Danio rerio: one gene and its partner. The protein of the gene in region 1 interacts with the protein of each later gene in a pairwise test. Links are inferred from orthologs where the notes say so. Each region holds a gene or a part of one and is shown on either strand. Other genes may lie near its edges.

The links.
Region 2: the proteins of mylka (region 1) and gopc interact in binary tests that used the Homo sapiens proteins (3 or more experiments, as listed by UniProt). The two-hybrid records come from large-scale screens. The link is inferred for Danio rerio from reciprocal best matches to the Homo sapiens genes MYLK and GOPC.

Annotation. Positions count from the first base shown.
Region 1 is NC_133184.1:4,195,084-4,203,183, reverse strand, and holds the start of mylka (myosin light chain kinase, smooth muscle), read left to right. Parts: upstream 1-3,496; 5' UTR 3,497-3,724; intron 3,725-8,100. UniProt on the Homo sapiens protein: Calcium/calmodulin-dependent myosin light chain kinase implicated in smooth muscle contraction via phosphorylation of myosin light chains (MLC). Also regulates actin-myosin interaction through a non-kinase activity.
Region 2 is NC_133195.1:45,540,165-45,548,282, forward strand, and holds the start of gopc (Golgi-associated PDZ and coiled-coil motif-containing protein), read left to right. Parts: upstream 1-2,859; 5' UTR 2,860-2,996; coding exon 2,997-3,278; intron 3,279-8,118.

The DNA of each region.
Region 1 (8,100 bases):
GCGTGGTGTTTCATTCCCAGCGTCTCAGTCTTGTTGGTTTCGGTTTTGGTCGGCGCTGGGATGAAGCATGCACGCTGCGTGTGTGAGCGCACGGTGAGTGTTTTCATTCATCATGTGCTCGTGTCTTGCGTCTGTTGTCAAAGCACGTGGCTCTGTGTTTACATTGTGGTCACGTGCTTTTGTCGTGTGCTTCAGTGTTGTGCTTGTCTCGTCATGAACATGCGGTTAATGAGTTCTCTCATTGGCTGCATGTTCTTGTCCTGTTTTATGTGAGCGCATGGCTTGTGTTGTCTCTCTGTGTCGCGCGCTCTCCCGTCTATTGTCTAGTCCCACCCTCCTTGTTTACTCATTATTAGTTTGTCATGTTCACCTGTTTGTGTCAATTTACTTTTTGCTTTATAATCCCCTCATGTTTTCAGTCCAGTGCCAGTTTGTCATCTAAACTCCCCATGTGTTCCTGCTCTTGTTCTTGTCGTGCCAACCCAGTCAAGTTTGTTAGTGTTATAGCTATGTTTTTCCCCTTCGGGGTGGTTTTTGTTGTTCTTTTGTTTTATTTTTATTATCAATAAATCATCCTGTGTTTGCACTTGAGTCCTCGCTCCCTCATCCTTCCTGAACCGTGACATGTTCACTACGTGCCTTTATCCATTCACATAAACGCACACAATTACTTTTTTTTGGTTGTTTTTCGAGGACAGTGATGTAATGTATTTATTATAAAATAATCAGACTGGACCCTAACTCGAAAAACTATGGCAACTTTAGGGACCATTTGTAAAAGCACTTAATGAGCACATTGAATGTGTCTAAGCTTCTAAAAATGCGAGATGCAATACTTCAGTATGGTTTGAAAAAAAAAGCACAGGATTAAGAACTTAATGGTAAGCTTGCACAGCATCTGAGCGCCTGTAAACAGAACCTTGCAACATCTCTGTCTCTGTGTTCTTCTGATTGGTCCACTGCTTTGGAACTGACAGTGATGAGCAGCACTGCATGTGAAAGCTTTGGTTCGTTTAACACAGTGTCTAAATAATTTAGCATTCATGAGGTTGGTGCTTCAAAAGTTGTGAAACATGAGTGCACCATCTACACACATCCGTTAAGCACAATTACAAACAATAGAAAAGTAGCGTACTGGAAAAGAAAAACGTGAATCGCCTCAATGTGTGTTTAAAAGTAACAGATCAGGTTGTGTGACCCTGGCTCTGACAGTTTCTTTGCCTCCATTCTTAAACGCTACAGTTAGTTCTTGCTGGCAGTCAGCCGTATGGTTTACGGTGCCAATGCTCCTGGTGCGTTCATTAATACACCAGCTGTGTTCCACTCCAGCACAATCCCAAAAATACACACACTATTCACACATCCGAGAATGAAGTAAAGGCTGGCTGACTCGATTCAAACGCAGATCACTGATGAGTGCATGAATGACAGCCAAAGTGCTCTTAGTCAACTGAGAGTGTTTTCCACCCAACATCCTCATCATCCCGAAGTGCTGCTCGTTTTCTTTCCTTCTTTGAGAATATGTGAAGCAGATCTCATATCACACCAGACTTCTTCAGGAGCCCCTGTTCCACAAACACACACTTGTTTTTGGTTGGAAACCAGCTGCATGTTACTTATCTCTGAGACATCTTCCCATAGGACTTTAACAAGAGGGAGAGAGAAAGAAAGTGAGAGAGTGAGGGAGGGAGAGAGAGAGAGGGAATGGTTCCTCAGGAGGAATAGTTTTTCCAGATGTTCCCAGAAAGCAGAAATATATGGTAGTTTTGGCCGAGTTGGTCAATGGGGAGACCATTGTGCTTTCTGGCCAGACATGAGGAGGCTCATATCATTAGGAACCATCTTTAACACTTCTCTGTGCTTTATAACAGTCTGAGAGAAGAAGCAAAGCTTTATAACCCTCTCAGCACATCAATCCACCTGTTCAGGAGCTTCATGATGTTCGGGACTGTATAAAGATACAAACATAAAAACTTGACACTTCTGATCTACAATGCTTTGTATTGAAGGTATAGTTCCCATATAAATCTTAATTTACTCATCCTTATAGTTTTTTTTTTTTTTTTTTTTTTTTTGTTGAATACACCATAAGATACTTTGACTAACCTTAACCATTGACGTCCTTAGTATTTTTTTTTTTCCGTCTATGGAAGTCACTGGTTCCAGCTTTCTTTAAGGGTCACACTTTACAATAAGGTTCATTAGTTAATGTTAATTAATGCATTTACTAACATGAACAAACAATGAACAACACATTTAATACTGTATTTGTTCATGTTAGTTAAGGTTAGTTAATGAAAATACAGTAGTTCATTGTTAGTTCATGTTAACTCATAGTGCATTAACTAATGTTAACTAGCATGGACTTAGATGTTAATAATGCATTAGTAAATGTTCAATTATGATTAATAAATGCTGTACATGTGTTGTTCATGATTAGTTCATGTTAGTAAATGCATTATCTAATGAACCTTATTATAAAGTGTTACCTCTACAAGATATTTTTTGTTTTCAACAGAAGAAAGGAACAAAGGTTTGCAACAAGAGTGAATTTGTGTTTTTTGGCTAAAATCGTAGTTAAGCTTCATATAAATTTTATAGAAATGCTGTATCTATTGCTGACTTTGTACTTCTGACTGAATCTTATATCGGCTACAAGTACTGCTGTTTTATTTTAAGTGTTTAGTTTTCCATAAATCCTCCTGAGTACATTGAATTTCATTCTGTAGTGGCTTAAAAATGTGAAACTTTTAAAAGAAAATTAAAGTCATTTTAATTTAAGTTAGGCATAAAGTGCAGCTTTAAGATGTGACATACAACAACATTGTTGTATAAGACAGAAGTGCTTTGTTCTGCGATACTATCCTGGGTGTACTTTATCGCGCTTATTACCCGGCTACTTGCCATAAAACTTTAAAATTAGACACAAAATACTGTTCTGAGCCGTAATACTTTATTAAATCTTTAATTAAATGGAAAGCGGACAGAAACAAAGGCAGCTGATGGAGCATACATTAACCTGCGCATCATTCCGTCACGAGATAGGGGCAAACAGTCAAAAACGTAAAAGCTGACAGAAATGAAGCCGGCTGGATGAAACTTAGACTAATCTATGTATTATTCGCTCATAAAAAGATGGCACCATATTCATTGATGGTCTTGATGATTCGAAGTTTCCAGATCAGCCTTTGTTATTTAGCAGTTGTTATCTTGGGATAACATACCTTGGAATTCTGCAAATTTCTAATCAGCATTAAGCATTCCAGACGGCATAATGATAAAGCCCTAAAGCTTACATTTGCACCTATTCTTTTAAGCATGCTATTTCAGCCTGAGCGACCACCTCCATCAAGCATCACAGTGTTTATCTCCCTCTGTCCACTGCCCTCTCTCCCAGTGAAATATAACGCTCTAAAAGCATTAACCAAGCAGCTCTTCTTGCAGCAGTCTGTTCGTCTTAGCTGGCTTTACCCTACACTTTCATCTGTGTAAGTGTGAGTGCTGAACACAGCAGTCTCCTGTCCTGCAGTGCTGAACTCTCTGAGCAGGTTTTTTTAGCACTCAAACATTATTGTACCCTCAAGAATGTGACTAACATTCATTACAGAGCAGGGTTGAAGAAACCTCTTAGGGAACATGACAAAAACTACATTTTTACATGTTTGGAGAAAATGTGAGTGGTACTTTTCTGGCCCAAACCATTGCACAAGTGGACTTAAAGTAAGTAAGTATGATATATCTCTTGTGAATGATTCATTCAAGTAGGCTAAACTTTTGGGGGGGGGGGGGGGTTGAGTTATTGCCGCTATAACTGAATGTGTGTCAGGAATATCGAAAACAAAACCAACTGAACCGCGCTCATTTCTGGCGCCCCCTGGATATACAGCGCCCTTAGCATTTGCCTATGGTGCCTATACCACGGGCCGGCCCTGAGTTGGCTGAGTGTTTTAAATACTCGCGCTCACCTCCCTCACGACAGAGCGCATAGGAGATAAATGACGTCAGTACATAATAACCTATTATGATTATTACTGAATTATGATACCTTATTGTCCGCGTCTGCATCACAGTGCACCGAAGAAACAATTAATTTTGACACCCCTACTTTGGTTAGTGTTGTATATGTGTTGGAGAACGTGAGTTATTGTTTCCTTATTCATGCTGATTCAGTTGTGACACGATTTGTTTGATTGTTTTGGTTGTAATAAATTTATTAATTTAAAGTCTTCTTTATGTTGCGTTCCCTTTATGAATTAATTATTTAGATTTGATTAAAAAAAGGGTTCATAACAGCAAGTGTGGATTTTATTGTTTTTGACAGTGCTTTATTCACCAATGTTTAATGTGATATCCAGCTTTGGATTTATTTAGATCTATTATTAGACATCTATGTTCACTGACAAACAAAATGTTGCCTTATTTTAGCCAAGATGTCTATCTTTGGGTGTCTATTAGACATATTTAAAAGAAAAAATACTACCAAGGACAAGATATGTTACTACTTTTGTTCCTTGTTGTTTGCAGTTGCTGTAATGTTTTAAGGTCATTGTTAGAAGGTTCTTGATGATTGTTACAGTAGTTGCTTACTTCGAACAATTCCATTTAATTATTAGTCAGCTTATAACTGTAGTAGGGTTGTAACAATATACCGGTATGACGGTCTACCTCGATTTGAACGTGCACGATTATCATACCATGAACAATTGCATATCAACGGTTTTAACCCTTAAAGACTGAGACAGCCGCCCGCGGCTAAAAATAAGTATTGCTCTTAAATGTTTAATAACTTTTGATCCGCTGATCCCATTCATACAATTCAAAGATTGGCATAAAGAAGAGAATCTCAGCTTTCCAGTGCTGTATCACATTACATTCGCCGACTTTCAGAGGCTCCGGAATCAGTGCGGTTACGTCATCAAAATTTGACAACGCTGATTTGACAAAGAAACGCTCGTCACTGTGTCTCCGGACAAACCAGACATGATACATTGATGCATTGTCCCTCCTCCATGCCCAGATTGGTTCAAACTCGCTATATCACAACCAATAAGCATAGGTTTCGCTTTTGTTTGTGGACCAACACTGAGCTTTTTGAACAACACGGAATGAGAGATAGGCATACATTTATGCGCGGCTAAATAAAACGCAAAAAAAAAAAAAGTTTTGCATGAAATAATTCTCATACTAAGTACTTTTGCATGCACAGCAGCACAGAAACATGACAAAACAGTGACACAGCAAAGACGAACTGCTGCTCTTGCTGTTTTCAAAAGACGCAAATGAAGATGCAGCTGTTTAACTGCATTGCAGACAACCATATCCAAATCCATATCCACAGACAACCAAATCCAAATCCATATCCATAGACAACCATATCCATGCTGGCACATAAAACCTAAGGATGTTCCATATTGAATCTAGTTTCGTTATGTAACTATTTATAGTATAGTAAATAATTATATCTCTTTTTTACTGAGGATTTGCACCATGTTTATTTGGACTTTGACACATTATTTATTATTTTCTTATTTTTTTATTTGTTCATTGTAAGTGGTGTTGTTTATAGTAACTGAAAATATATTATTTGGAAAAAGTCAAATTTGCTTCACTGTTTTATTATTTTGTAACACTTATTTTCTGTTTTGTTTATTCCCAGACCTTTTGGGCAAAAACATTGTCAGTAAATAAATGCATTTTTTTCCCCATAGAAAAACCTTTGTTCAGTCAGAAAACGTGTTCTTATTCTTTTCAGGGTCTTTGCTATGAGAATTACTATTTAATACCGTATACCGCGAAACCGTCAAACCGTGGTATTGTTTTTTACGATTATCATACCGTAAAAAATTCATACCGTTACAACCCTAAACTGTAGCATTGTCATTGATCAGTTTTTAATAAGTTGCATGATTCATAGTATCGTGCATGTCTACACCATTAACAGGAGTTACACTGCAAGGCTTATTAGTTTATAATTCAAATGGAAGTTTGGATAACTTGGCAAACATCACTAATGAGTGACCGAAAGAGATTCTTGTTGTTCTCATTGTCTTTTTCTCTCAAATCCCCCCTCTCTCAGTTAGCAGTATATTAAATATGCATGAGCACTCTCTGGTCCTGCATGAATCCTCATGGAGCCTGTGGCCGTGTGAGTGTCTGTGTCTTCTCTAGGTGAGGTTAGTTCATGGTACCCCCCACCCGTGGAAAACAATAAAGTAGGAATCATGTTCTTTCCAGAGGAACTGTTTCAGTAGGGGTTTTCATTTCCTCATTCCATCAACGCTGTGCACCCTTCAGAGAAACCTGGCAGATGCAAACATCCATAAGAAAGAAAGAAAACAAATGAGATCGTTTTAATATCTCGGTTGCTTCACCTTGAATTAGAGATCCTGTAGTCAATGCAAATGAAAAATGTAACTTAAAGAGAACCTACTATGCAAAAGTCTCATTTATAAGAGGTTTAAACACAGTTGCGTGGCAGCAGTGTGTGAATATATCCAGCCGCTAATAGATCACAGTCAGGAGAAACACTTTGATTGACATTCTCTCTTTTTAAGTGTCATCAGAGGGGGAAAGCCCCGCCCATTTGTGACAATCTCTTCCTCATAAGCATAGACAGCCTTGAGTGAGAAGCAGCCATCCATCATTAGAGTTTTCACACAATACCTGCCAAAGATAATCTCAGCAACTAAGTAGCTAAGTAACTAACTAATAAATGTTGAGGTTTAAGGTGCACAAATGTTTCACAAAGATAATGTTAGTCCTGTTTTGAATCTGCTACTAAGCTAAGTTTTAGATTTCCCACTTTCAGAAAACCTCAACATCGTCTCAAAACTTAGTTAGGACTTAGTTTAGATCAATGTTCACAATTAAATGTAAGCGATCTCATTCATTTAATGCCTTAAAGCAATGGTCCCCGGGTCACAAACCAGTACCAGTCCGTGGATCAATTGGTACCGGGCCAAGAAATCAAGAAATCATTAAATATCATGAAATATTTCTGAAGAAATCATTAAATATTTCTGTTTTATTTTTTATATCTGAGTCTGAACAATCTTTTTTTTTTTTATATCTTTTATTTTGAAAAATTACATTTGAGCGCCAATCTTTAAACCCAGAAAGTTAGCAAAATGAGTAAGAAAAGGTCATCACAACAGTGAAGGACCCGAGAACTGGCAAGAAATGGATCCGCAACCAATTCGTCAATAAATCAGGTATATCCAGAATATCACGAATATCTCGATCACAAATGATGGCAGCTATTCACATATCGTGTCTTTTCTGCGTGCAAGTTTGTTATTTACAATGGAGGCGCACGCTTAAGCAGTGTGACACGCTAGAACCTTCCTGGAGAACTCAGCTGAAAACAACTCAACTTTTCCGAATGTCGAAAGTGCACAGTGAGTCACATCACAAGAACTGAGCGATCAGCTTCATACTTTGTATTGATCATACCACAGAACACCCAAACATTGCAGTGCTTTGTAATTTTCTCCATAAATAAAACTTGTATCAGAGTTGCAGCAATGTTTTGTCAGCTTGTCATCCTCTGAGAAAACGGATGATGGATGTCATGCATCACAACACCCGCCACCTCAGGTGGGTGCACCCAGCCACAATAAAATTGTCAAGCATTTATTGGTCCGCAGTGAAAAAAAAAGGTTGGGAACCAGTGCCTTAAAGAATAACTTCATTTTAGAAATTTTTTGATTTTTTTAGATGACATCTTTCTGACCCTCCGTTGACATCCCAATCCCAACATTTTCAAAGTCCACAAAATGAACTAAAAATACTGTTAAAACATTCCCTGTGACTTCAGTGGTTCACCTGTAATCATACAAAGCTCCAAGTAGGGCTGGGTGATATTGAAAAAAAATATATAACACAATATCATGTTTCATATCATTTGATGTAGATAATTATTGACGATTTTTTTTGACAATCCATTTAGGAATATTAGGATTTTTTTTTTTTTTTTGTTTAACCGCTTTATTTTAATTTACCAACATTACAAAGGCAAATTACTAATAACAAATTACACTACTAAGTTTTATTAGTCAAAAACAAAAATATTCAAACAAAATATCTGATCTCTTTATAATA
Region 2 (8,118 bases), on another chromosome or scaffold:
CAACCCAGCTTTCCCATATGGTCTCCCATCTAGGTACTGACCGGACAGGACACAGCCTTGCATAGCTTCAGCGGGCAACCATGTGAGAGCTGCAGAGAGCTAGCTGCCAGATATTTCTCAATTATACAACAACAACAACAACAATAATACTATCAATTTGAAGAACATTCTCTTAATATTACAGACATTTTCTAATTCACTATTAAGTAAAACTGGATATTCAGCAAAAATCATCCACTTAAAACTAATGCTTAGCAAGTTACACTGTAAAAAATCTCTGTAAATGATCAGTTTTCTGTATTTTGTGATTCATGTTTTTATTTTCTCCCATTTATTTATGTTTGTGACTTGCATTAAGGTACCTTAAAAAGTTCAAAAATGTGACTTTTGGTAACATTTTGAATAGTTTAAAGTGATATTGTCTGGATGGTGATGTATATTACGCTACAAAAACCTTGTAATAAACTGGCAGTACATTTTCTGCTATTTTGCAGACGTATTTCTCTACATAATATTTCTTATACATTATATTATTTCAAACTACTAAAATGTCAATAAAATTGACTTTGTTAAACTGTAGAGTTACATTTTCAACATCAAAAGTAGACAGAGCAAAGATCAAGCTCCCATAATGCAATTCACAACCGTAAATAAATGGAAAACACTTGTGAATCACAAAATACGGAAACTATTAATTAACAGATATTTTTTACAGTGTAGTTAGTTAGTTAGTTAGTTAGTTAGTTAGTTAGTTAAGATTGTGGAACAGCTAAATGAAATCCTGAACAGCAATAAAATCAGGTTTATTTTGCTGTTGTTTGAGAAGAGCACTGGTGAACCCGCATGTCTCTGTTCTGGCTCATGTTAAAGCAAAACACACATTATCGCTCAGAACATCTTCGTTATGAAAACACAACCTCGCACACCTCTGTGTGTGCTGAAGTTGCATTTTGCACATAAGGCTTAACTAGCAGAGCCAGATTCATGCTTGGCATTTTATTTTCCTAATTACAAAACAAAGTTTAAAGTTTTATACACTACCAGACTTCTGTCTTGTCGCCTTTTACAATTTTAGAAACAACTAATAATAACTTGACTTCTAGTCGATCATTTGGTACCAGAAGTGGCTTATATGAAAGGCAAAGGCCTCTAGATTGTGCTTATTTTACCAAAATAAAATATGACCATGCCTTGATTTTTAATTATTTAATTAAGGTCTTAAATATATATATAAATTTTTTTGTAATATTATTATTTTTTTCTCAATATATAAAAAGTTATATTTTTATTCTATTACTAATTGGGTATTATTAAAACTTTACATTATTTTGTCTTATCCCTGAAATATATATACATCTGTGTGATTTAAAAAAAGCCAATAAATAAATAAACAAATAAATGAATAAATAAAATAAATAATATAAATAATTATTGTATGATTGAGCAGAGCTATTAATATATTTAAAAAACATAAAAATCAATAAAATGTTCAATAAGTAAACAAATAAATACTTAAATAAACAGCATGCATCATAATCATTTATTGTAAAATTCAACATTGCTCTTAATATCTTTAAAGAATCTAAAAAAATACATAAATGTCATAAATTGTACAATTTATTTTATTAATGTATTTAAATAACCTAACATAGTTTAATCAATCAATCAATAAATAAACATGTCATCATTACTGTAAAATTTAAAGTTACAAATAAAAGTTCAAAGTCATTTAAAAAGTTAAAAACAAATGCATAAACATATATATAACCCAAACATAAAACAAAATTAAATAGAACAAATATAAAGTAAAACTATATAAAATAAAAATAATTTTAAAAAGTAATTATTGCAGATACTTCTAGACAAAATATATCCGCTATAAAGTTTTAGAGCTTAATCCATGATATGTTAAAATGTTAAAGGAGCATAATCAGTATTAATTGTTTTAATTACTTTTTTATTTTTAGACATCATATATGTATAGATGATATGATAATCACTTTTTAGCATTTATGAATGAAAAATTAACATCATAATAAAATAAAGTTTCTAATAAAACCAGCATTCTATAAAGAGGACATAATAAGCCCAAAATCACATGTTTAGATGATAATGAATGTTTTTAAAATAGGAGCGATAAAACTTCCACAGGCATCACGGTGGCGCAGTGGGTAGCACGATTGCCTCACAGCAAGAAGGTCGCTGGTTCGAGAATCGGCTGGGTCAGTAAGCATTTCTGTGTGGAGTGTGCATGTTTGCCCTGTGAACCCGTGGGTTTCCTCCGGATGCTTCGGTTTCCCCCATAGTCCAAAGACATGCGGTATAGGTAAATTGAGTAAGCTAAATTGTACGTAGTGTATGAGTGTGAATGTGTGAGTGTATGGATGTTTCCCAGTGATGGGTTGCAGCTGGAAGGGTATCCGCTGCGTAATACTGAATAAGTTGGCGGTTCATTCTGCTGTGGCAACCTAATATTAATAGAGGGACTAAGCCGAAAAGCAACTCCCTTTTTTTTCTTCTTCCATTTCAAAAAACTTGCAATTCTAGAAACTTCAACATTGCTCCAAATATATCGAGTATATCAAAAGTACCAAAGTAAATCTTATGTTGAGCATATAAAAAATTGAGTATATCAAAAGTACCATAATAAATGTTAGATTTTTTTTATATAAGTCAATAAAAAATAATTTTAAAAAGTCCGGTAAATGACCAAAAAAAAAAGCTAATAACCTCAAAAACCTGAAAAAAATCGATTCGCTCATCATTCGACTGCTTACCTCATCGTGTGGCAGACCCGACTAATCAATCCGCGTTGTTGACTTGTTCGATCTCGGATTTCCTGGTCAGATGAGAGCACGGGAAACACCTCAGCTAAACATCACTCTGACTCTGTAACACAGCAGAAGTCAATCATTAGCATAAACCAACTGATCTATCCTACTGAAGGACTACATTCGAGTTCTCCGTGAGTTTTCCCCCCTGTCTCAGTCTTGAAGATGTCTGCGTCCGCTGGCGGTGCTGGATCACCGGGATCGGGCCTCTCCGCCGGCCCGGCTGCGGCTACCGGCTCCGGTATGTCCATGTTCCGGTGGCTGGAGGTGTTGGAGAAGGAGTTTGACAAGGCATTTGTGGACGTGGATCTGTTGTTGGGAGAGATCGATCCGGATCAGGCTGATATCACGTATGAGGGCCGCCAGAAGATGACCAGTCTCAGCTCGTGTTTTGCTCAGTTGTGCCATAAAGCACAAACCATCTTCCAGCTCAACCACAAACTGGAGGTAAAGAGAATAGATTAAACTAGATCAATATATTGAGGTATAGTTGGTTTTATGTTAACACATTCGTTCATTTTTGAACACTGACAACTAGTGTCACAGTTCCTATTTTGTGTTCACCATGCTACTTTAAATATTCGGTCTGAAATCGCATGTAAGTATGACTTCAAAACAACATTAGCAGCACCAACCGACTCTGAACAATGTTGTGCTTTAATAGTCATTTATTGGCTGCTAATATGATTTCCCTATTTTGAAACTTCAAAAGATACTTTTCTAAAATTCTATTATTTTACTCATAACAGATTTTTATAAGTACAAAACAGAACAAAACATTTACACAATCATTTTATACAAGTGATAAGAAAAAATACACTGTAAATCTAAAAAGTTAAGGTAACTCAAACTGTTTGAGGAAACTGATTTCAACATACCATTTAAGTTCAGAAACTAATCCTAATGGGTACTGTGATCTTAATCCATTTGTGTAATGAAGCAATTTGAGCACAGTAAAACCCAGTAAAAAAAGAGAACTCAAACCAACTTAGTACTGTAAAAAAACAATAAATTAAAGCGACTCAAACCGTTTTAGGAAACCGATTGCAATAAAGCATTTGAGTTAAAAACTAATCTATGAGTACTGTGAACTTCCTCCATTTAAGATGAAGTAATGAGGTTTAATTAGCTCAATATCTTCAACGCCTAGTTCAAAACTCTTTTCAAATGAACTTGCAGTACATTTTGAGTTAGCTACACTCATTTTGCTTGATAAAGTTGACTGTTTTACAGTGTGCAGACAAACTGACAAAAACCAGTCCATCCAAACATGCTCCATATAGAGTAAATCATATACACTATTAGGTGTTACTTGATCAAACTCAAAACATTAAAAAATGGAGTGGAAAAGAAAGAGCAAAAATGTCCAAGAATCCTACTTACAACTCTTAAAAAAAGAAATGCAAGGAAGAAGCCCCAGATTTTTCAAGCTGTTTAGAAGCATCTGCCCTAGCAAAACAAATTCTTTCAAGCTTAAAGGGCCATGAAACCCCCTCGTTTCAGCAGGGTGTTTTCACACCTCTTCTTTGGAAAAAGTCAGAAAAGTGGGCGTGTCCAGATCTGTTTAGGGGGGAGTGTCGGAGGAACTAAAGTGGGAGGGTGTGGGAGTGTCGATTTGGGCACGCGCGAGTTTCAGAGTCAAAATACACACACACACACACACACACACACATACATACAGGAGAATGTGATGGTGTTTAACCTACATGGACATCTGTAGTCGAATTATTAGCCAAATTATTAAATGGTGGACTTTAACTGCAGTTTGGCTCTTTCATTCAGGGAATTCATTCATGTCCCTCGCGACACACGAGACATTTGATTCGAGGAGCTGCTCTAAGCGTGTATTTTTCATGCAATGTTTTATACCGCACGGCGAATGAGAGAAAAAAACCCTCTGCATTTCCCAGAAACTTAGATGCACACGACAGGTAGTGTCAGAAAGCCGCGCGTGTTATTCCGGTCACTAAATGCGGTAAAAACCCTACACGAGGTTAAAGTTTGGTTGTGGTGCTAACGTGTTTACACTCTGTGCAATAGTTTGTTAGATACGAACAAACTGAATAAACAAAGAGCACTGGTCGCTCACTTACCAAATCTGTAGAGACAGGACAATCACCAGCAACTAGAGCCGCGTCTTTATGAAGAGAATACTACAAACGATTCCAGATCTCAGCGTTTGCAGATGAGAACAGCTCTCAGGTAAACAATAATCCTCCTTAGACACGTAAGTTATTGTTGTCGCGCGTCGCGTACACTGTAATCCACACGTGAGTCTGAGCTCTCACAGAGAGAAAATGAAAACGAAACTTAACTGCAGCAAACTATAAAAGCAACACTTCACGCTTGTTTTGCCAACACAACATGGCGTCTCTGTCCTGAAAACACGGTGATAGTAATGAATATTAATGAAGTTGCACAATAGAGTGCGCTGATTGGTTTGACCCAAGCCTTACTCATGCATTAATGTATCACACTGTAAGACGTAATAAGACTCACTCAGGCACAGACATCCAGTCTGCACGCTGGAATACACGCTATTATGTCATGACCGTGACGCAGCTTCAAAAATTCGTTTCAAACAGGAAGTACGAATTTGCTTAAAATAACGCAAAAACAACCAATTTACACTTTTTAGTGAAATATAGGTGTCCTAATAGTGTTTTTAGCAGTGTGGGACACATATACGACTGTCAACAGCTCAAAAAATGTGTTTTGGTGTTTCGTGACCCTTTAAGAACAATTTTAGTCAGCCATTTCTGAAGTAAGTAGGTGGTAGAGTGGACTTCCAATCCATCAAGATCACCCTTTTAGCCACCACCATACCAAACATAATAGACATTTGCTGATTATTTGACCATGCTAACAGGGTCACAGCATCCAAACAGGGCTAATTCAATATCTGGACTAAAGTTTTCTCCTAAAACATTTGAATAAAACAGAAAATTATTCTCTGGGATCTCAGGGCAAACCCAAAAAATATGAGCATACGGTCCATCTGAACTTTTGCATCTGTCACATAACAGGGAAACTGAAGGGAGCATTTTTATTGAGATTAGTTTTGGTATAATGTTGCCTATATTTACCACTTCAAACTGTAGGAGTTGCAATCTAGCGTTGATAGAACAGGTATGAATTCGCTTCAGCCCCTCTTCTCAGGTATCAATTGAAATGTTAACTCCAATATCTTTTTTCCATGACAATTTATGGTGATCAGAAGACAAAGCAAATTGGCAGACAAAGAAAGAAACAAACTGCGTTACCAAATGTTTGGCCATAGGAGGTTTACACAAAAGATTGTATATATTATGGTCCTGTGGCAGTTCTTGAAACTCAGTTAAAGAATGTTTTATGTAGTGGCGCACCTGTAAATAGTGGGAAAATGGTGACTGAGAAAGATTAACAGCTTTAAACAGGTGTTCAGATGAAACAAATTTCCCATCTATATAAAAATCTTTGACTCTGGTGTCTGGTTAATCCTTTGTTTCTCCATTGTAAAAATATCTTATCTGACTGGTCAGGTAAAAAAATATTACTAAAATTATGTTATTAAGGAACATGTGCAAATATGAAACTAACACCGATGATTAAAACATGATCAGTCAAAGTCTAGACAAAGTTGTTAATCTTCTATTTACTAAATGTTTGCAATGTGCTTTGAATGCTTTGCTCTGGGTGAGCTTTAGTTTGGCTTTTCCTACTATGGAAGCAAATGTTTGCAGATTTTCAGCTTTCTTCAAAATATCTTCTTTAGTGTTCTTCATCAGGATAAAGAAACTCATTAAGGTATGGAGAATAAATAGTGGGTAAATTTGAAGTTTTAAGAACTGACTAATTGTGGAGTGTATAAATTGTAGCGTTTAGTTTTTAATCTATGACTAGTTCATTTAAGGTTATGAAAATCCTGTGTATATTTAGCTAAATTTTTTCAGTTATTATGAATGAGCCCTCTACTGTATTTAGTATTTATTTGTCTGAAACGTATGTTTATTCAAGAATATTAGGAAGCATTATACAAGCTTTTATTTGTAAACATTAATTATTACATTACTAAAAATGAATAATACTTGTAAATCATTTGTTATTCGTAGGCATTGACAACATTTAACTGTTCAGATTAGCTACCGACATGAAAGAACAGTTGTAAATCTATTTACAAAGATTGATAAGATTTATAAATATAGTAACAAATATATTGCACATAATAGCAGCAAGCTAAATTAGTTAAGCTTTATCTGTATATATTGGAGTGAAATCTCAATGATTGTGGATCACAATCAATTATTTTAGCCTTTAAAAGTGGACATTAGATTGAATAATGTAATGTTCTTAATGCATAGTAAATTTACTATGGCTAAACAGATATAGCACTAGTAAATCTATTATTATAAAGTGCTCCTGAAAATGATTATGGTGAAATCACAATTTCCTATAAAATCGTGGATTTGGCAATAAGGAATGTGAATCATAATAAGATTTTGTGCAACTTAATTAATGCAAATTCAAGATGGAATTGGTTGTTTGTTATTAAAGTGCAGTGCTTTTATTAAACAGAACCAATTTAATATGCAATAAAACAAACAGAATGATCAGAACCCTTGCAATATATGCATATTTAGAGTAGAAGTATTATATCTGAATAGGTAAAATTTGGGTTTTTATGATGGATGTTTGAAAACAACAAAACAATGCCAATGAACTGGATGAAACTTGCATATTTTGCTGATTACTACTGCTGGAAATGATCAATTATTGTCATGTTTTGGCCGGCACTAATTGGTCAGACCAGAAATATTTTTTTTTTAGAATACTAAACATTGACAATTTTTAATAAATCAAGCAGAAAAGAGCCTATAAAGTCAGCAAATGTGTATACAGGCACATACAGGTAACTGACCAAATCATAACGCAAGAGAAAACGCACTAAAGGATTATTAATTTTTTCAAAATATTCAAAACGCTGAGAATGCCGTTATATAAAGGCTCATTCACACCAAGTAAGATTACTACAACATTAGACGAGTTTCAAAATGTGTTATTATTTTCAGCTGAAGAACGATTACAGACATTTACAGCCAATCATCACAATTTAAAGAGCCGGTGACAAACCTACAGCCATCTGTAGAGAATGACGTTGTTTGTTGGTGCGGATGCTAGTATATTTATCATCATATTTGTCTTTCTTGTTGTGAACTGAATAGTCTTTTGTATTCCTGTAGTTAACACATTTTAGTTTTTTCCTCTCCATATGCACCAGACATCTTCTTAAAAACACTTAAGCCACGGT